Caenorhabditis elegans: one gene and its partners. The protein of the gene in region 1 purifies or fractionates together with the protein of each later gene. This does not show direct contact. Each region holds a gene or a part of one and is shown in the gene's direction. Other genes may lie near its edges.

What was found. Proteins that work in one complex are often made in the same cells at the same time.
Region 2: the proteins of cysl-2 (region 1) and pgm-2 fractionate together in Caenorhabditis elegans (co-fractionation; one large-scale study listed by BioGRID). This does not show direct contact.
Region 3: the proteins of cysl-2 (region 1) and C32E8.9 fractionate together in Caenorhabditis elegans (co-fractionation; one large-scale study listed by BioGRID). This does not show direct contact.

The regions. Positions count from the first base shown.
Region 1 is NC_003280.10:14,491,869-14,496,557, reverse strand, and holds cysl-2 (Bifunctional L-3-cyanoalanine synthase/cysteine synthase), read left to right. Parts: upstream 1-2,106; 5' UTR 2,107-2,138; coding exon 2,139-2,814; intron 2,815-2,915; coding exon 2,916-3,150; intron 3,151-3,504; coding exon 3,505-3,607; 3' UTR 3,608-3,684; downstream 3,685-4,689. Other genes in the region: vnut-1 (Major facilitator superfamily (MFS) profile domain-containing protein), read right to left, coding at 3,993-4,165, 4,349-4,689.
Region 2 is NC_003281.10:13,296,991-13,303,260, forward strand, and holds pgm-2 (Phosphoglucomutase-2), read left to right. Parts: upstream 1-2,387; 5' UTR 2,388-2,388; coding exon 2,389-2,548; intron 2,549-3,226; coding exon 3,227-3,573; intron 3,574-3,639; coding exon 3,640-3,806; intron 3,807-3,863; coding exon 3,864-4,157; intron 4,158-4,225; coding exon 4,226-4,389; intron 4,390-4,986; coding exon 4,987-5,642; 3' UTR 5,643-5,770; downstream 5,771-6,270. Other genes in the region: npp-18 (Nucleoporin SEH1), read left to right, coding at 1-98, 144-205, 257-324, 375-762, 1,350-1,606, 1,657-1,796; Kinesin-like protein klp-19, read right to left, coding at 6,031-6,270.
Region 3 is NC_003279.8:3,794,056-3,800,386, reverse strand, and holds C32E8.9 (Ethylmalonyl-CoA decarboxylase), read left to right. Parts: upstream 1-2,318; 5' UTR 2,319-2,337; coding exon 2,338-2,352; intron 2,353-2,420; coding exon 2,421-2,591; intron 2,592-3,672; exon of another isoform or gene 3,673-3,702; coding exon of another isoform or gene 3,703-3,848; intron 3,849-3,902; coding exon of another isoform or gene 3,903-4,221; exon of another isoform or gene 4,222-4,228; intron 4,229-4,778; coding exon 4,779-4,868; intron 4,869-4,919; coding exon 4,920-5,273; intron 5,274-5,582; coding exon 5,583-5,759; 3' UTR 5,760-5,831; downstream 5,832-6,331. Other genes in the region: Phosphatidylinositol-binding clathrin assembly protein unc-11, read left to right, coding at 108-195, 355-506, 1,034-1,182; C32E8.1 (RING-type domain-containing protein), read right to left, coding at 3,703-3,848, 3,903-4,221.

The DNA.
Region 1 (4,689 bases):
TTGATAATTTTTTGTTTATTAAAATCTCAACAAACCGTAAAAAAATGTAAAATCGATTGAAAATTGAAATTACAGTACTCTTTAAAGGCGCACACCTTTTCGAATTTAACAAAAATTGATGTGGCGAGACCGGGTAACGTATTTTCGCCGAAAAATTGTTGAATTTAAGATAATTTTATGCAAGTATGGGAGTATTATGAAAGATTGTTAAATGTTTTTTATCTGAATTTTTACGATTGGGTTGGCTGTAAGAATTTTAAGATGTTTTTTTTTTAACTTTCAGATTGTATTTTTTACCAGGGGTGGGCGGAAACCGTTTTTTTCCGACAAACGACAAATAGGTAATTTGCAGAAAATGACAATTTCCGGCAAATCGGCAAACCGGATCTATTTGCCGAAAAACGGCAATTGCAGAAATTTTCGGCAAATTGTGGTTTAGCACACTTTTTCGGGAAATTTCAGAATTTCTCTTTTAATCGGCAAAATTGTACTTATCATGAATGCTCCTACATCTATTCTGAAAAGTAAGCAAATTCTATGAAAATAATATTAATTTTCAAAATGGCTCAGTTTTAAGTATTTCCGTCTTAAAAAACACACTTCCGGCAAATTGACATCCGGCAATTTGCGGGAATTGAGAAATTCCGGCAAATTGGGAAACCGGCATTTTGTTGACTTGCCAAATTTGCGGAGAAAAGCTTGCCAAACGGCAATGGCCGCCCACCTCTGATTCCTACCTCTAAAGAGCTCTGAAAAGAAAAATTGCAAGAATCCGCTTCTGGAGCTATTCTATCGGCCTTCAGTTGGGTTCTTGAAAATATATTCACCTAAAATATTTCAGAATAGGTGCACATGTTTCCAGATGCACATGTCTTCTGGTGTTCCCCCTTTCAGAAATAATAAAATTCCATAAAACAATCTTCAATATGTCACGTACTCACTTTGATCTTATCATCCTCTCGATTAGCAGTTCAGATCATAGAACAGACTATTTGAGACACAGACACCCAATCAAATGTTTTCAAGTGATGATTTCCTAGTTCTCATCATATGGAGCAAATATGGGCGGTGCTTATAGTCCAAAAACACACGTTCATTTCACAGCGGATGGAAGTATAAAAGGTGAAGTTTGGAATCTGATGAAACATGTCTTCTGGTTTTGCACTTTTTTGTAGAAATTGTTACCTCAAGTGTGAAAGTACTTTACTAATGTGTTCCCGGCGAAAAATGATTTTAATTGGACCGTCTTTTTTTCATAGAAACCATCCAGAATTCCAGTAGTGAAAGTTCACAAGTTTCAGATAAATTTTAGGGTATTTACAGTAAAAGAAACTAAATAATTTTTTTGAAAATTTCAAAAATCTCGGATATTTTAATTGTTAAATTCGATCATCTTACAATTAGACTTCTATTAGTAAAGGCGCACACTATTTTTATCAGCTTTATTAAAGATAGGGATTCCATTTAGGCTTTAAAAAGGCAGGCGTCAAGCCCTGAAACCGAGCCTGCTTACCATGGATGCCCTACTCAATCGTAAATCGAAATAAAATAATATGTATAACTAATTTTCAAAGGTTTGTATTACGGGAACACAGTTCTGAGAATGCGCATTTACGGGCTCGATTTTTGAAATTCTGTTCATAAATAAATTATTTTAACTCATTCCGAAAATCGTGCCCGTAAATCGACACCATCACTACAGTAATCACTGAAAGAATAGTTTTCGCTACGTGATATTTTGTGCGTCAAATATGGTGTGCAAAACGCATTTTCAGAATTTTGTGTTCCCGTAATATCAATTTGATCTTCCGCGTCTACCAATAGATCAAATTACTTTGATACCAAGAAAAATGATGACAATAACTGCCGCCCGCCCTTATCGTTTACTCATCTCGCACGTATTATTGTTTTCTACCTGATTGGTCTTCATTTCTTATCACTATCGTTATATCTTTTCGTTAATTTTGTTCTTATTCTTTTTTATTACGCTTTTTGTTGAAAAGTTCGTCTTTTTGCAACATTATAGTGTAGTGGATTTAATTACTCCCTTTATTTGAATTCCTGCGAAAAATCTTTTTAAAACTCTTATTCCATTTTTTTTTTCAGAGTATTAGTTATCCTCTGCCAATCAACTCATCATGTCCCGCGAACTTATGGTCGAAACCGGTGGTGAGCTCATCGGAAACACCCCACTCCTGAAGCTCAACAAGATCGGAAAGGATCTCGGTGCATCGATTGCCGTCAAGGTAGAGTACATGAACCCTGCCTGCTCGGTCAAGGATCGTATCGCGTTCAACATGATCGACACAGCTGAGAAGGCCGGGCTCATCACCCCCGGCAAAACTGTGCTCATTGAGCCAACCAGTGGAAACATGGGAATTGCGTTGGCCTACTGCGGAAAACTTCGTGGGTACAAAGTTATTCTTACGATGCCAGCGTCGATGAGTATTGAGAGAAGGTGTCTGTTAAAGGCCTACGGTGCTGAGGTGATTCTTACCGATCCAGCGACCGCGGTCAAAGGAGCTGTCCAAAGAGCCGAAGAGCTTCGCGATGTGATTCCAAATGCGTATATCTTGAACCAATTCGGAAATCCAGCAAATCCAGAAGCCCATTATAAGACTACAGGACCAGAAATTTGGAGGCAGACACAGGGCAAGGTTGATATCGTATGCTTCGGAGTTGGATCAGGTGGAACTTGCACTGGAGTCGGACGATTCTTGAAGGAGAAGAACCCAAGTGTTCAAGTGTTCCCAGTTGAGCCATTTGAGAGTTCTGTGATCAATGGACTTCCACATAGCCCACACAAAATTCAAGGTGAGCATTTTTTTTCCAAATTTTCGGGGCTGGGGAATTGTAAATCAAACAAAAAAAAGTCGATGCACCATGTCAAAAACGGTTATATTTTCTATTTCCAGGCATGGGAACCGGAATGATTCCTGACATCCTCGACTTGACCCTTTTCTCCGAGGCTCTGCGAGTTCATTCCGATGATGCTATTGCAATGGCCAAGAAGCTTGCCGACGAGGAGTCGATTTTGGGTGGAATCTCGTCTGGAGCCAACGTGTGCGCTGCAGTTCAGTTGGCCAAGCGACCGGAGAATAAGGGGAAACTAATTGTCACCACAGTTAACAGTTTTGGAGAACGCTATCTGTAAGTTTTATATTCAATATTATTGCAGAATTTTCAGTTTTTTCCATGAAAAAAATGTAGGGCTTTCATGGGCGGTAGGCGCGGTTTCAGGACCTGACGCCTGCCTCCAACCTCGAAAGTAATAATTTAACAATGAAATTAAACTCCAAATAGACCTTCCCAAAAACTGTAAAAACCCGAAAAATTGAAAAAGTTCAAGAAAATTCGAAAGCCAAGAATTGGGCGGGGCTCAATTTTGGTCACATTGGGTAAATGTTGTTTCTATAATTTGAAAATATAAAACTTTCTCGGGAATCTTTGTCTCAGATATTAAATATTTCAAAATAAGCCCCGCCCAATACTTGGCTATTTCAGTTCAACCGCCCTCTACGCCGAGCTCCGTGATAACGCCGCCAACATGAAACAGTTGAACCTCGACGATTCCATCAAGATTGCCAAAGAATACCTAGGAATTTAAACTTTCGAATTTCATATTGTGTGAAAATGTTTCATTCCAAAAAATGTTGTTTTGGAAAATAAATAAATTTATTTAAAAAAGACATGAATATTACACATTTCGTACAATGAAAAGACTTCAAAAACCCGGATAAACTATGAATCACTGAAAATTGAGTGGGTGTGGGGAAGGGTGAACACAGACAATTCGAAGAGGGGTGGGGGAAGAAAAATGAGAAGAGGCAAGTTTATAGTTCAGAGGGGAAATGAGAAGAAGAAGAAAAGACCGATAACAAAAATTATGAAACAAGAATAAAGAAGAAGAAGAAAACTATTTTTCAAAAGTAAATCTTCGGATTCACTTCAAGAATTTTTGAAAAAAAAGTTAATGCACATGAAACAAATAATTAAATAATCTTCTGTCCAGTGCCCAGAAGTGTATAAACCATAGCTCCAACAACACACTGAGCCGCCGTCACAACGAACACGTACGACCAGTTGTTATTCGTGGCTTCCAGGATGTGACCAGCAATGTAGACACCGACGAATCCGGTGATGGCGCCGCAGGCATTGAAAACTCCTGAAAAATGGTTATTTTAATATAACTTCTTTTTTGTTTTTTTCAGGCATCAATCTGGTGGGATTCCGGATCTAAAAAAATATTTTTTCGCCAAATCAGCAATTTGCTAGAAATGCAAAGTTTGATATTTTTGGCAATCAGAAAAAACTTTCGTGCTCATGTTCAGAAGAAGTCTACCCTTACCAAAAACAGATCCCGCATGATTTGGTGCAAAATCGTGTGGATTTACGGAAACACCACCGTGGTGTAGCCCTCTGGCAGCCATTGCCATAGTGAATATGATCAATGATATCCAGAACGATGATGTCATTGGTACTAGCATCAAACAGAATGCGATTCCCAGTAGACTGGCTCCTTCCATCAATTTTCTCGTATAGGTCACAGTTTTTCCCTCGGACAGCGCACGAGACGCCATCACTGGGGCCACCAATGAGGTGACAACGATCGCCAACGATGGTACCACATTGTATACAAAACCCTTCGCAGTCGGGAATGTCTCGTGGAAATACGATGGGAGCCAGTTG
Region 2 (6,270 bases), on another chromosome or scaffold:
CTCATGGCCGACGAATGGCAACATGTGCCAGCGATATGACAATGGCGATTTGGGATCGAAAGCCAGACGGAAATTGGCGTAGATCTGCACACTGGAAGGTAGAAAAGAAATTTCAGAAAATAAAATAATTTTCCTCATTTCAGTGTCATGGTGGAGCAGTTTGGCGCGTTATTTGGGCTCATCCGGAATTTGGGCAGATTGTTGCGTAAGAAACTAGAAACTGTCACCCGAATATACTTTATTGATTGATTTTCAGCACCTGCTCCTACGACAGAACGATTGTAATTTGGGAGGAGCAAATTGTGAGATCAGAGAAAGATCTGAGTGAGTATAATTCGCTCTAAATATAATCCAAAACATTATGTATCTCTCAGAGCAAAAAGAATCCCAATGGATCCGAAGAACAATCATCTCCGATAATCGTTCAGACGTCACCGATATCTGCTTCTCCCCGCGCCATCTGGGTCTCATGATGGCATCATGCAACGTTCTCGGAACCGTCAGAATCTACGAAGCACCGGATATTGTGGACGCTTCTCGATGGAATCTTATTCACGAGCTTCAAGCGTTTCATACCCGATGTGGATGTGTCACATGGTCACTTTCTCGTATGCACCGCCCGTTGATTGCTGTTGGTTCGGATGAGAAGAAGGCAGAGAACAAGAAACGAGTTGTGATCTATGAGAATATTGATGGATTGAGGAAATGGCAGCGAATCAACTCATTAGTCTTCGATCTACCATGCCCGATTACTGATTTGAAGTAGGAAGAACACGCTCTCCTCGGAGCCGAATAATTATTACAGCGCGCTTGCCTTTCCATTGAAAATAGCAGATTTTTCAGTATTAAAAAATCCGCTCTTTGAATAATTTTTTGTCTAGAAATTCCAAAAAATAATCGAATTTTCTAAAATCCGATATTTATCGGATTTGTGTCTAAAAATTTCAAAAACAATCGTATTTTCTTGAAAAATCCGCAATTTTATCAATTTTTTGCCTGAAAATTTTAAAAATAATTGAAATGTTCTGAAAATTCCGCTATTTTAACAAAATTCAAAAAATATTTAAAATTTTCTTGAAAAATCCGCTATTTTAACAATTTTTTGTCTAAAAATTCCAACAAAAAAAATTGAATTTTCTGGAAAAGTCCGCAGTTTTATCAATTTTTTGTCTGAAAATTCCAAAAATTATTGGAATTTTCTTGAAAAATTCGCTATTTTAATAATTTTTGTCTAAAAATTTCAAAAAAAATCGAATTTTCTTGAAAAATCCGCTATTTTATCAATTTTTTGTCTGAAAATTTCAAAAAAAAATTTCCGCTATTTTAACTATAATATTTAAAATGTTCAGATTCTCGCCGATATCGATGGTGGATTCGCATCAATTAGCCGTTGCATCAGGCGATGTTCACGTCTACAACATCAAAGTGGCTCGTTCGGCGATTCTCGAAGAAGACGGTGTCGAGAATCCGATTCAGCTGGCGGATTACAATCTGATCAAGGTGGCACTGCTCGGGGATCATCGAAAAGCATGGAGGCTTCGATATAATCTCATGGGATCAGTCATCTCGTCGACGAGCTTGGATGGAACACTGAGATCCTGGAAATGTTGGGAAAAAATCAAAAAGAGTCAAAAATGAAATAAAATTGATTTTCAGCACTCTTCGTGAACCAATGGGTAAAGCTGAGTGAGATGAATGTCGACGACTACGTTCCATCGCCTGAAGAAGTTCGCGCCTTCATCTCATCGAAAACTACCGAACGTCTTCCATCACAACTCGAGAAAACCTATTTCTAACGATATTTTTCTCTATTTTTTCTCGCCGATCATTTTTTTTCCGAATGATTTCTTATCAAAGCGTGTATTATTATTTGTTATCATCATCTGAAAACTGAAAACCGAGAACATTATCACCGATTTTTTTTTGATGTTTAAGTATTTTATCAATCTTCTGTTTAATTTTCAGATTTTTCATGCTGATCGGTTTCTGCAAGAATTAAACATTCCACTTATCTAACTTATGTAATTTTCAACGGTTTTTGTGCCTAGAAATATTTTTTGGACGTTTTTGTTAATTCTTTTTGCATTCAACATTCACCTAAATTCGAAAATTAAATATTTACTGAAACCCGATACTGTCTTTTTCACAGTTTCCACAATACCTCCATCAATTATTGTTGATTTTATCTCTTTTCCAAATCTAGGGATAGTGGGTTACTCGCAGAGAAATAGAGAAACGGCAAGGTCATTTACCTGGCCTTTTCTCATCCACACATGTCGGAATAATTGTGGTATTAGTGTCCTTATCTGCAAAATTTCGATTTTTTAAAACTTTTGTTGTCTTTTCCACAATTTTATTGCAAAATTTAAGCACTTTCTAATTTTCAGAATGACTCTTGGATGTGCAAAGCTTGACAAGCAAGTTGCCGATTGGCTCGCTTGGGATAAGAATGATAAGAATCGTAATGAAATTCAAAAGCTGGTTGATGAGAAGAACGTTGATGCATTGAAAGCTCGTATGGATACTCGATTGGTTTTTGGAACTGCTGGTGAGAAGAAAATAATATTACACAGCTGCAGTGTGTAAACGGTGGAAGAAACGCAGCTATATTGGGACAAAGGGAGGAAGACCCGAAATTGTGTAGATTTACAGAGTGTGAATCTTCATTATTACGGGAATGCATATTGCGCAACTTATTTGACGCGCAAAATATCTCATAGCGAAAGCTACAATAATTCTTTTAATGGCTACTGTAGTCAATTTTCGAAACAATCTGTATCTGTCGCTATTCGAAAAACATTTATTCTCGAAAACCGAGCCCACACGTGGAGTCAGAAAGTCCCATTTCGCTTTGATCTACAAAAAATGCGGGAGAAGAGACGCAGAGTTCTTAGCCGAATTCGCATGGTTAAGAGCGTGCTGGCGCCACATTTTTCTGGTAAAAAATTCCCGCATTTTTTGTAGATCAAGCTATATTGGGACAGCCAGACACCAAGTGAGCCCATAAATCTACACAAGCGCTACACTAGTTTAAAGAATTACTGTAGTTTTCGCTACGAGATATTTTGCGCAATGCGCATTCTCAAAGATTTGTGTTCCCGTATCACACGGTCCCCACATCTCTGCGTCTCTCCACTGTCTACACTCTGAAGAAGCTGGGTGATATTAACAGGAGAACAGTAGAGATTCAAAAGTACAGCTCAAAATATAAACGTATTTTTTCCAGGTGTCCGTTCTCCAATGCAAGCTGGATTTGGACGCCTCAACGATCTTACAATCATCCAAATCACGCACGGATTCGCTCGACACATGCTGAACGTCTATGGACAACCGAAGAACGGAGTCGCCATCGGATTTGATGGACGTTACAACAGTCGACGTTTCGCAGAGCTCTCGGCGAACGTCTTTGTTCGTAACAATATTCCAGTTTATCTTTTCTCTGAAGTCTCTCCAACTCCTGTTGTCTCGTGGGCAACGATTAAGCTGGGATGTGATGCTGGACTTATTATTACTGCATCACATAATCCAAAGGAAGACAATGGATATAAGGCGTACTGGAGCAATGGAGCTCAGGTAAATAGATCAATATTTAAGATTTAATTCTTTTTAAGATTAAAAAAGAAAAGGTTTTTTTTGCAGATCATTGGACCACATGACACGGAAATTGTTAGAATCAAAGAGGCCGAGCCACAGCCGAGAGATGAGTACTGGGACTTGAGTGAACTCAAATCTTCGCCACTTTTCCATTCAGCTGATGTTGTAATTGACCCGTATTTTGAAGTTGAGAAATCGTTGAACTTCACTAGGTTTGTAGAAATTTTAAAAAATCGTTTAAAAAAAGGTAAATCCAATAATATTTTCAGAGAAATCAATGGCTCAACTCCGCTGAAATTCACGTATTCCGCGTTCCATGGAATCGGCTATCACTACACAAAACGAATGTTCGCCGAATTTGGATTCCCAGCTTCATCGTTCATTTCGGTGGCCGAGCAACAAGATCCAAACCCAGATTTTCCAACAATTCCATTCCCAAATCCAGAAGAAGGACGAAAAGTGCTCACGCTGGCGATGGAAACTGCCGATAAAAATGGATCGACAGTTATTTTAGCCAACGATCCAGACGCCGACAGAATTCAAATGGCCGAGAAGCAGAAAGAGTAAGTTTTTTGAATTTCCAAAATATATATTTTAAAAAATTTTATTTTCAAAAAAATTCAATTTTCAGCGGCGAATGGCGTGTGTTCACTGGTAATGAGATGGGCGCTCTCATCACTTGGTGGATTTGGACAAACTGGAGAAAAGCGAATCCGAATGCTGATGCATCAAAAGTATACATTCTGAATAGTGCTGTGTCCTCACAAATTGTCAAGACAATTGCTGATGCAGAAGGTGAAATTTAATTTCGAAAGAGAAAAATTTGCTTTTTGATGAAAAAGATACAATTTTTTCAAAAAAATGCTGAAATTAAACCGTGCGGCAATGTTGCAAAACCGCGTACCGCGGAATTGCGTGTCCGCGGCACGCCATTTCGCAATTTCGCCGCATGGTTTTAGTTTTTTCCTAATTTTTAAAAACAATCTTGCAAGATTTTGATAAATACGAAAAAGAAGCCGAGTTTTTTTTTTGAAAAACATTGAAAAACGAAAATTTTCGATTTTCCGGAAAATCTAATTATATTTTTTAAAAATCAGAAAATTAACAATAATATTCGAATTTTTATCCAAGTTTTGTAAATTTTGATGAAAAACTACATAAAGAAACCTACAATTTTCTTTTAAAACTTTTTTTAAAAATCGAGAATCGAAAGAAAAACTTTCGTTTTTCGATTTTAGTTGAAAAAAAAATTCGAATTTTTTTCGTTCTACCGACTAAAAATCAACATTTTTGAAGAATTTTAAGTAATTTTTGCCAAAAAAAAAGCAGCAGCCCTGTTTAGAATATAAAATATTAAAATTACAATTAACAAAAAAAAACTATAAAATTCAGGCTTCAAAAACGAGACCACCCTGACCGGATTCAAATGGATGGGAAATCGAGCCGAGGAGCTCCGTGCCGATGGAAATCAGGTCATTCTGGCGTGGGAAGAATCGATCGGATACATGCCAGGGCATACCATGGACAAGGACGGCGTGTCCGCTGCCGCAGTTTTCGCCGAAATCGCCGCTTTCCTTCACGCGGAGGGAAAATCGTTGCAAGACCAGCTGTACGCTCTCTACAATCGATATGGCTTCCATTTGGTCAGATCCACTTATTGGATGGTACCGGCTCCGGAGGTCACCAAGAAGCTCTTCAGCACATTGAGAGCCGATCTGAAGTTCCCGACGAAAATCGGAGAAGCCGAAGTGGCATCCGTGAGAGACTTGACGATCGGATACGACAACTCAAAGCCCGACAATAAGCCCGTTCTTCCACTCTCGACTTCCTCGGAAATGGTGACTTTCTTCCTTAAAACTGGAAGTGTCACTACTCTCCGAGCATCTGGTACTGAGCCAAAAATCAAGTACTATATTGAACTCATCACTGCTCCGGGAAAAACGCAGAATGATCTGGAAAGTGTGATTTCTGAGATGGATCAACTCGAGAAGGATGTCGTCGCTACACTTTTGAGACCACAGCAATTTGGACTGATTCCAAGAAAATAAAAATTTTTGTCTTGAATAAGAATCAAAAAATGTTTATAAATCTATTTGCATTCCGATATATTGTAGTCTTCTTCTATTGTGATAATTAATTTTTCAATTTATTTCCCCAATAAATTACTGAACGTTCTAAAAGCTGTACGCAAAACCAAACGAAGACATTAAAGTGTGTAAACTTTCAATTTTATTGAAGCATTTTGAGAAAAAATGGATAAGAAAAATGCCTAATAGGTTTACTTAATTTAAAATCATCTATTTAAGACAGAATGGGGGGTCAAACGACACAATTTAGTACCCGAATACTATTATTCACAGTAAAAGTTAATTAATCATTAGTTGACAGGAGGAGGCATTGGTGTGTTAAATATTTTTCACACACAAAACTTGGAATTTAGAGCGGTCCAAGATCCGTTCGACGACTCTTTCGCTTGATGGGAGGAACACCGTCTGCTTCCGACGTTGGAGCTGCACCGATCACGAATGTTGAGTTGGAAGGAGACGGTTGCGAATCGTCCAACACAATAGTGGCAGAATTGAACGAATCTTTGACGAAGGTGGCATTGTTCATTGCCTCGTTTTCAATGTCTTCATCTTCTTCTGTTAGACGGGTATCATCGTCACATTTGATTGG
Region 3 (6,331 bases), on another chromosome or scaffold:
CTCTACTTCAACATTAATACAGTTTTACAGTTTTTCATAACCACCCCACATTTCAGATGACTTCAAATTTGAACAAAAAAATGTAAAAATTAAAATATTAATTCCAGGTCATCAAGCTGCTCCATTCGGATATCCAAATGCTCATCCAGATGATCTTGCTCGAATGACTGCACAAATGTCATTGAATCAGCAGGGGTAGGATTATTTTTGTCAATTTTAATGCAATTTTTGTTGCAATTTTTTTCGTGACTCACGACACGAACGAACCACTAGGGCTAGATTATACATATTACCTTTTACAAAATTTCACAATTTCTAAAGAAAATCGAAAAATCTTGCCTAAAAATATCTTAGTTACAGAGCACCGGCCGGCTGGAATACCACAACTTCTGCCGTCTCAAACAATCCGTTTGGAGCAACGTCGGCTCCTCAGCCAATGTATACGGCTCCAATGGGAATGTATCAACAACCATTTGGTGCTCAGCCAATGTGGAATCCTGCGATGGGTTAGTTTATCGAAAAAACGAGGAATTTTTTTAAAATTAGAATCTCGGAACAATTGAATTTTTATCTAATTTTTCACAATATTTCAAGATTATTTTAAATGTGAAAATCGATTTTGAAGCATTTTTTGTTAATTTTTGCTTCATTTTCGAAATATGCTCATACACCTATTTTATACTAAAATATAAAATTTAAACCTCTGGAAAAAATTCAGTTTTATTTAAAATCGAAAAATCGGTGGAACATTTCATATTCCAGCAATTTTTGGATAAGCGGAAAAATAATTTTGGACAAAAAATAGCAAAACATTTTTGGGTTGGATTTCGGGCCAAAAAACCAACAAAAAAAATTTATACTTAAATTTATTAAAAAACCGCGAGAAAGTGAGCAGTTTTTGGTTTATTTTTTGGTCTAAATAATACCAAACAAAAACAAAAAAGCCCCACGCCTAGAATAGGAATTCAACCATTTTGTGGGCGTGTCTGGCACTATATTTCGGTAGATTTTCAAAATCTTATTTTTTTTGCAGCAGCATACGGTCAACAATATGGATACGGACAACCTGTTCCACCACAACAGCAACACCAAATTCAATTGGTTCATGCAGCGATGGCTGCAAAGAACGCTGCACAAGCTCAACAGGCCCAGGCCGCCTCAGCCGATCCATTTGGATTATAGTCTAGTCGTCTATTTCTCTCTATCTCTCTCGTAACATTCCCTGATTTATTTTTTTTTAATGTAAAAACAAAATGATAGCCTATTTCTATTTCTTGATATCCCCCAAGATTCTCCAATTTTAGAATTTCCAGTAGATTGTGCAAAACTAATCAAATAGCGAAATCCAGGTGCCACTCCAATTTGAAATCACTTAGTATTCCTTTTTAACCTTTTTTTTTCAAAATTTTTGAATAGTCAAAGTATATTGCAATCAAATGTGTCGTTTTTTTGCATTGAAAAATTCGGAAAAATCGATTTTTTTTCTCGATTTTTCAATTACCCCAAAATACCGAAAAATCAGAATTTTTCGACGTCACCCTTGATTAGAATATATATTCCAGTAAATTGCCTTTTTCTTCGGTCGAATTGTCATAATTTTTCATGCTCTCTAGATACAATGTACCCCCCAAAATTCTTCAGATTCGGCCAAATTTTCGTCAGATCAGTGATGTTTTCCCCCTATCTCTATCTCTGCGTCTTCCAGTCTCTAGCGGCATTTTTTGTTTCATTCTTTCCACCCAAAAATTTATTTTGCAAAACGCACGCTTCTGTGTCCTATTTAATTATTTGAATTTTATATATTTATTTATTGACTCCCCCTCCCCCCCCCGGCTCTCCCATTTTAAGCGCTCGTGTTTCATAGCAATAAATTAAATTATTTTCCATCCTTCCTTTTTTTAGATTTTGAAATTTTGCAACTTTATCTCTATTGCCAAGAAGCGATGATAGATTGATTTTTCAATTGATGCAATAAATATTCGTAGATTCCTCGATTCACGTCATACTTTTTTGTTGTAAAATCTACCGCCAGACACGCCCACAAAATGGTTCATAGCCCCGCCTATTTTAGGGGCGGGGTCTTTGTTGTACGGTTTTTTGTACAAAAATTGTAGGAAAATGAAATTTTGCACCGGTTTTTTGGATTCTAAAACTGTCAAGAAAACTATTGAATTTCTTGTTTTTCCGCCAATACCTAATGAGACCCTGCGTTTGGTGGCGGGGCTTCGACTTGTGACTCAAAAATAGGGAAAATATATTCTTATTCTTCTCACTAACCGCTTATAACCTAAAAATAAAAAGATTTTTCTAATTTTTCAGGGCAACTGAGCGACAAAAATGTCTGGAAAAGTGGTATGTTCTTCGAAATTTGAATATTGCGTGATTCACGACTATGTGCCTTTAGAATTGAATTTTTTCAGGTTAGACCATCCGCAGCACTGCTGGAAGTCTTTAAATCATGGCAAGGCGGTGCGATTCGAGTTCAGCGAAACGAGAAGCTGAAAACAAGACTTGACGTAATTCTGGACCGCCCGGAAAAGAATAATTGTTTGTCTGGAGAAATGATGAAGCAGTTTGGAGAGCACACTGAGGCAAGTTTTTGAATTTGCGCGTGAAATTTGATGCATTAGAGGTAGAGACCGAGCAAAACAGTGTGCGCCTTTAAGAAGTGCAGCAACCGATTTCTCCAGCACTTTTTAATACTAAATGCTTGAGTATATTACTGGAACACAAAATTCCGAGAATGCGTATTGTACAACATATTTGACGCGCAAAATATCTCATAACGAAAACTACAGTAATTCTTCAAATGCACGTGGTGTCAGGCTGTCTCATAACTGTTTGATCTACAAGAAAAGTGGGAATTTTTTACCCCAAAAAATGTGACGTCAGCACGTTCTTAACCACTAGTTGAGAAGTCTGCATCTAAATTCTCGAAATTTTCGAGATCTACGTAGATCAAACCGAAATGGGACACTCTCACACCACGTGTAAATGACATGACTACTGTAGGGCTTGTGTCGATTTACGAGCTCTTTTTACAAAATGAATTTAAATTATTTATTTATCGATTGAATAATAAATTTGAGAAAAAACTAGCAAATATTACGAGGAAACAGATGAGAATGGAATATCGATGTCTTAAAGAAATTCATTTCGAAAATCAAGTCCGTAAATCGACACAATGGCAGCAGTAGTCATTTAAAGAATTACTGTAGTTTTCGCTAAGAGATATGTTGCGCAATGCGCATTCTCAGAATTTTGTGTTCCCGTAATAGAAAAAATTTGAAACAATATGGTAAATTATTATCACGGAATTCTGGCTTCCCTCATAAATCGAAATGGCAGAGTTTGCCGAACTAGGCCATTTTGGGTCGAAGAGATTTTATGTAGATTTACGGCGCGTTGCGTGTCGCGTCGCGGCTCGTTTTTAGTTGTAAAATTGATGTATTTGCCCGTGTGGAGTACACGGCACTTTTCCACACGTTGTCCGGCAGGCGATTGTCAATGGAGCGCGAAAATTCAATGATAAAGGCCAGAACCCCGTGATTACTGTACTAATTTAATTGTCACGCATGTTTTTACGCAGGCTGAACTTGAAATTATTGTGATACCGGTTACTGTAGTTTTGCGCGAAGACCTTAAGAATCTCAGAATCAGAATCAATCTACACAGTATTTTTCAAATCATTTATTCGAATTTCTACTGATTTATGAGAGAAAAATTCTTGGGCAGATTCTCGATCGTCTTGTTATTGAACTTGTACACTTTTCTATCGAATGGACAACGGATCATCTTGTTTTGGATAATATTTCCAGCGCATTCGGTGCAAATTGTGTGGCCACACGCTGAATATGATAAGAATAATATCATTATTTTATGAGTTGCATTGGCAGACTTACGCAGAACACGAGGCACGGTCATTCCAGAATCCCCATATTGTACTGCACAAATCTCACATTCAATCGGAAGAGTTTTGAGATCGGAAATCGCCTTTTTCAGGAAGTCCGTCACACGTTTTTCCTTCTCAAGAGCCTCCTTCGTTTCCACAAAACAATCCACCATATCATCCAGCTGCACCTTCAACTTTTCGTTCTCCGATTGCAGACGCTTCACTTTCTTCATCAACTGTTGCTCTTCCCAAGGAACTTTTTTCACTGGCACCGCATCGTGTCCTACTTGCTCTGCAATCCTCTTGCTTCTGCAATCCTCTTGCTTCATTTTTTTGAAAAATCTGATTCCGTTTTAACATCACGTATTTACACGGCTTTACACGGCCTCTCTCAATTTCATTTATTTAAAAATTCCTTTTTTTTTAATTTTACACGCTCTCACGGGAAGATCAAAAATTATTAAATTTAAATTACACAATTATATTGGAATATTCGAAGGTACAACTATTACTGGAACAAAAACTTTCGAGAATGCGTATTGCGCGACATATTTGACGCCTACTGTATTTAGCGCATGTGTAGATTTACGGGCTTGATTTTCGAAACGAATCGAAATAATTTATTTATTGAAAGAATATATTGGAACGAAGGAAAATGGAATATCGCTGTCGCTACTCGGAAAAAAATTCATTTCGAAAATCAGCCCCGTAAATCGACACAAGCGCTATTTACAGTAGGCAAATAAATTTTCGCTAAATTTTATAAATTTTCACAATATAGTGGGTTACTGTACTTTAAAACACACATGTTTTTGCGCAGTCGTATTTGAAATTATTTTTTTCGTTGCGAGACCGTAGTAAAAATGCCTGAAATATCACTTTTCAGCTATTTTCCGATGATCAAAACGCAATTATCGTTGTTTCGGGAGTTGGAAAATCGTTCTGCTCGGGTGCTGATTTGGGTCTTATCAAAGATGTAATGAAATTCCAATTTTTAAATTCCAACTTTCAAATGTTTAAATTTCAGATTTCGGACCAAAAGCTTGGCGTCCAAATGTTCGAGTACATGTCATCAATTCTTTCACTTCTCCACTCATCACCAGCTATTTCAATTGCGAAAATCCATGGCCACGCACTCGGCGGAGCCACCGAAATTTGCTCGTCGACCGACATTCGAATTGCTCATTCTGGCTCGAAAATCGCATTTTTTCAATCGAAAATGGGAATTGTTCCGTCGTGGGGAGGTGCCGAATATATGGAGGGAATTATGGGTAGAGGACGAGCATTAGCTGCAATGGGACGGGCAAATGTTATGTCAGCTGAGGAAGCAAAGGATCAAGGATATGTGGATTATGTGTACAAAAGTGAAGATGAAGCTGAGGTACGGAACTGTGACGTCATTTGTCGCCTAGAAATCCCATAAAATCGAGGTGCATTCGCGCTCCACTGGCAAATGAAAAGGCTCCGCCTCTAAACGTTGGGTCTCGTTAGGTATTCGAACATTTTCAATTATTCTCGTCTTTTCTTAAAATTAATTTCCGTTTCTTCCATTATTATGAAAAACATGTTTAAAACGGAAAAAGTATGCAAGAAAAAAGTCAATACCTAACGAGACCCAACGTTTGGGGGCGGAGCATTTTTACCTCGCCGTGGAGCGCCATTGCTATAATACATTGAAATATGTTTTCAGAACTTCATCAACCAAGTGGCTAGCGCTGGTTTGAAAGTGACAAGAGCCCAGAAAGCTATGCTGAACGCTGTAAAAATAGGAAAAACGGAGCAAAAACAAGTGCTGGAAGCCGTCTGGAACGGGGAAACTCATCGAAATGCACTTCAGAAACAACTCGAAGCGGTCGTCAAGAAATAATTTTGCTTTTTTTTGAAAGAATTTTGTATTGTATTTTAAACTATTTTTAGAGAAATGAACAATTCTGAATCCAAATATTTATTTCTCCAATACTATTAAACTTGAAAAAAAGTCTAGATGAAAATTAACAAATCTGTGAACTTTGGCATTTGTAGCGATCTCTATGACTGAGATCGTGACGAGACCCACTCAAAAAATCCCATGTGCTTTTGAAATTGCCAATTTTTAGCAAAATTACGATATTTCGGGAGCACAAAAATCTGAGAATGTGTATTGCGTAAAATATCTCGTAGCGAAAACTACAGTAAGTCTTTGAATGACTACTGTAGGGCTTGTGTCGATTTACGGGCTCGATTTTCGATATTAAATAATTTATTTTCCCTAGATTTTCTCAAATTTTTTTTCTCAAATTTGTTATTCAGTCGATAAATATAGAGCTCGTGAATCGACACAAGCGCTACAGTAATCATTCAAAGAATTACTGTAGTTTTCGCTACGAGATATTTTGCACGTCAAATATGTTGTGCAGTACGCATTTTCAGAATTTTTTGTTCCCATAATATCTATATTTT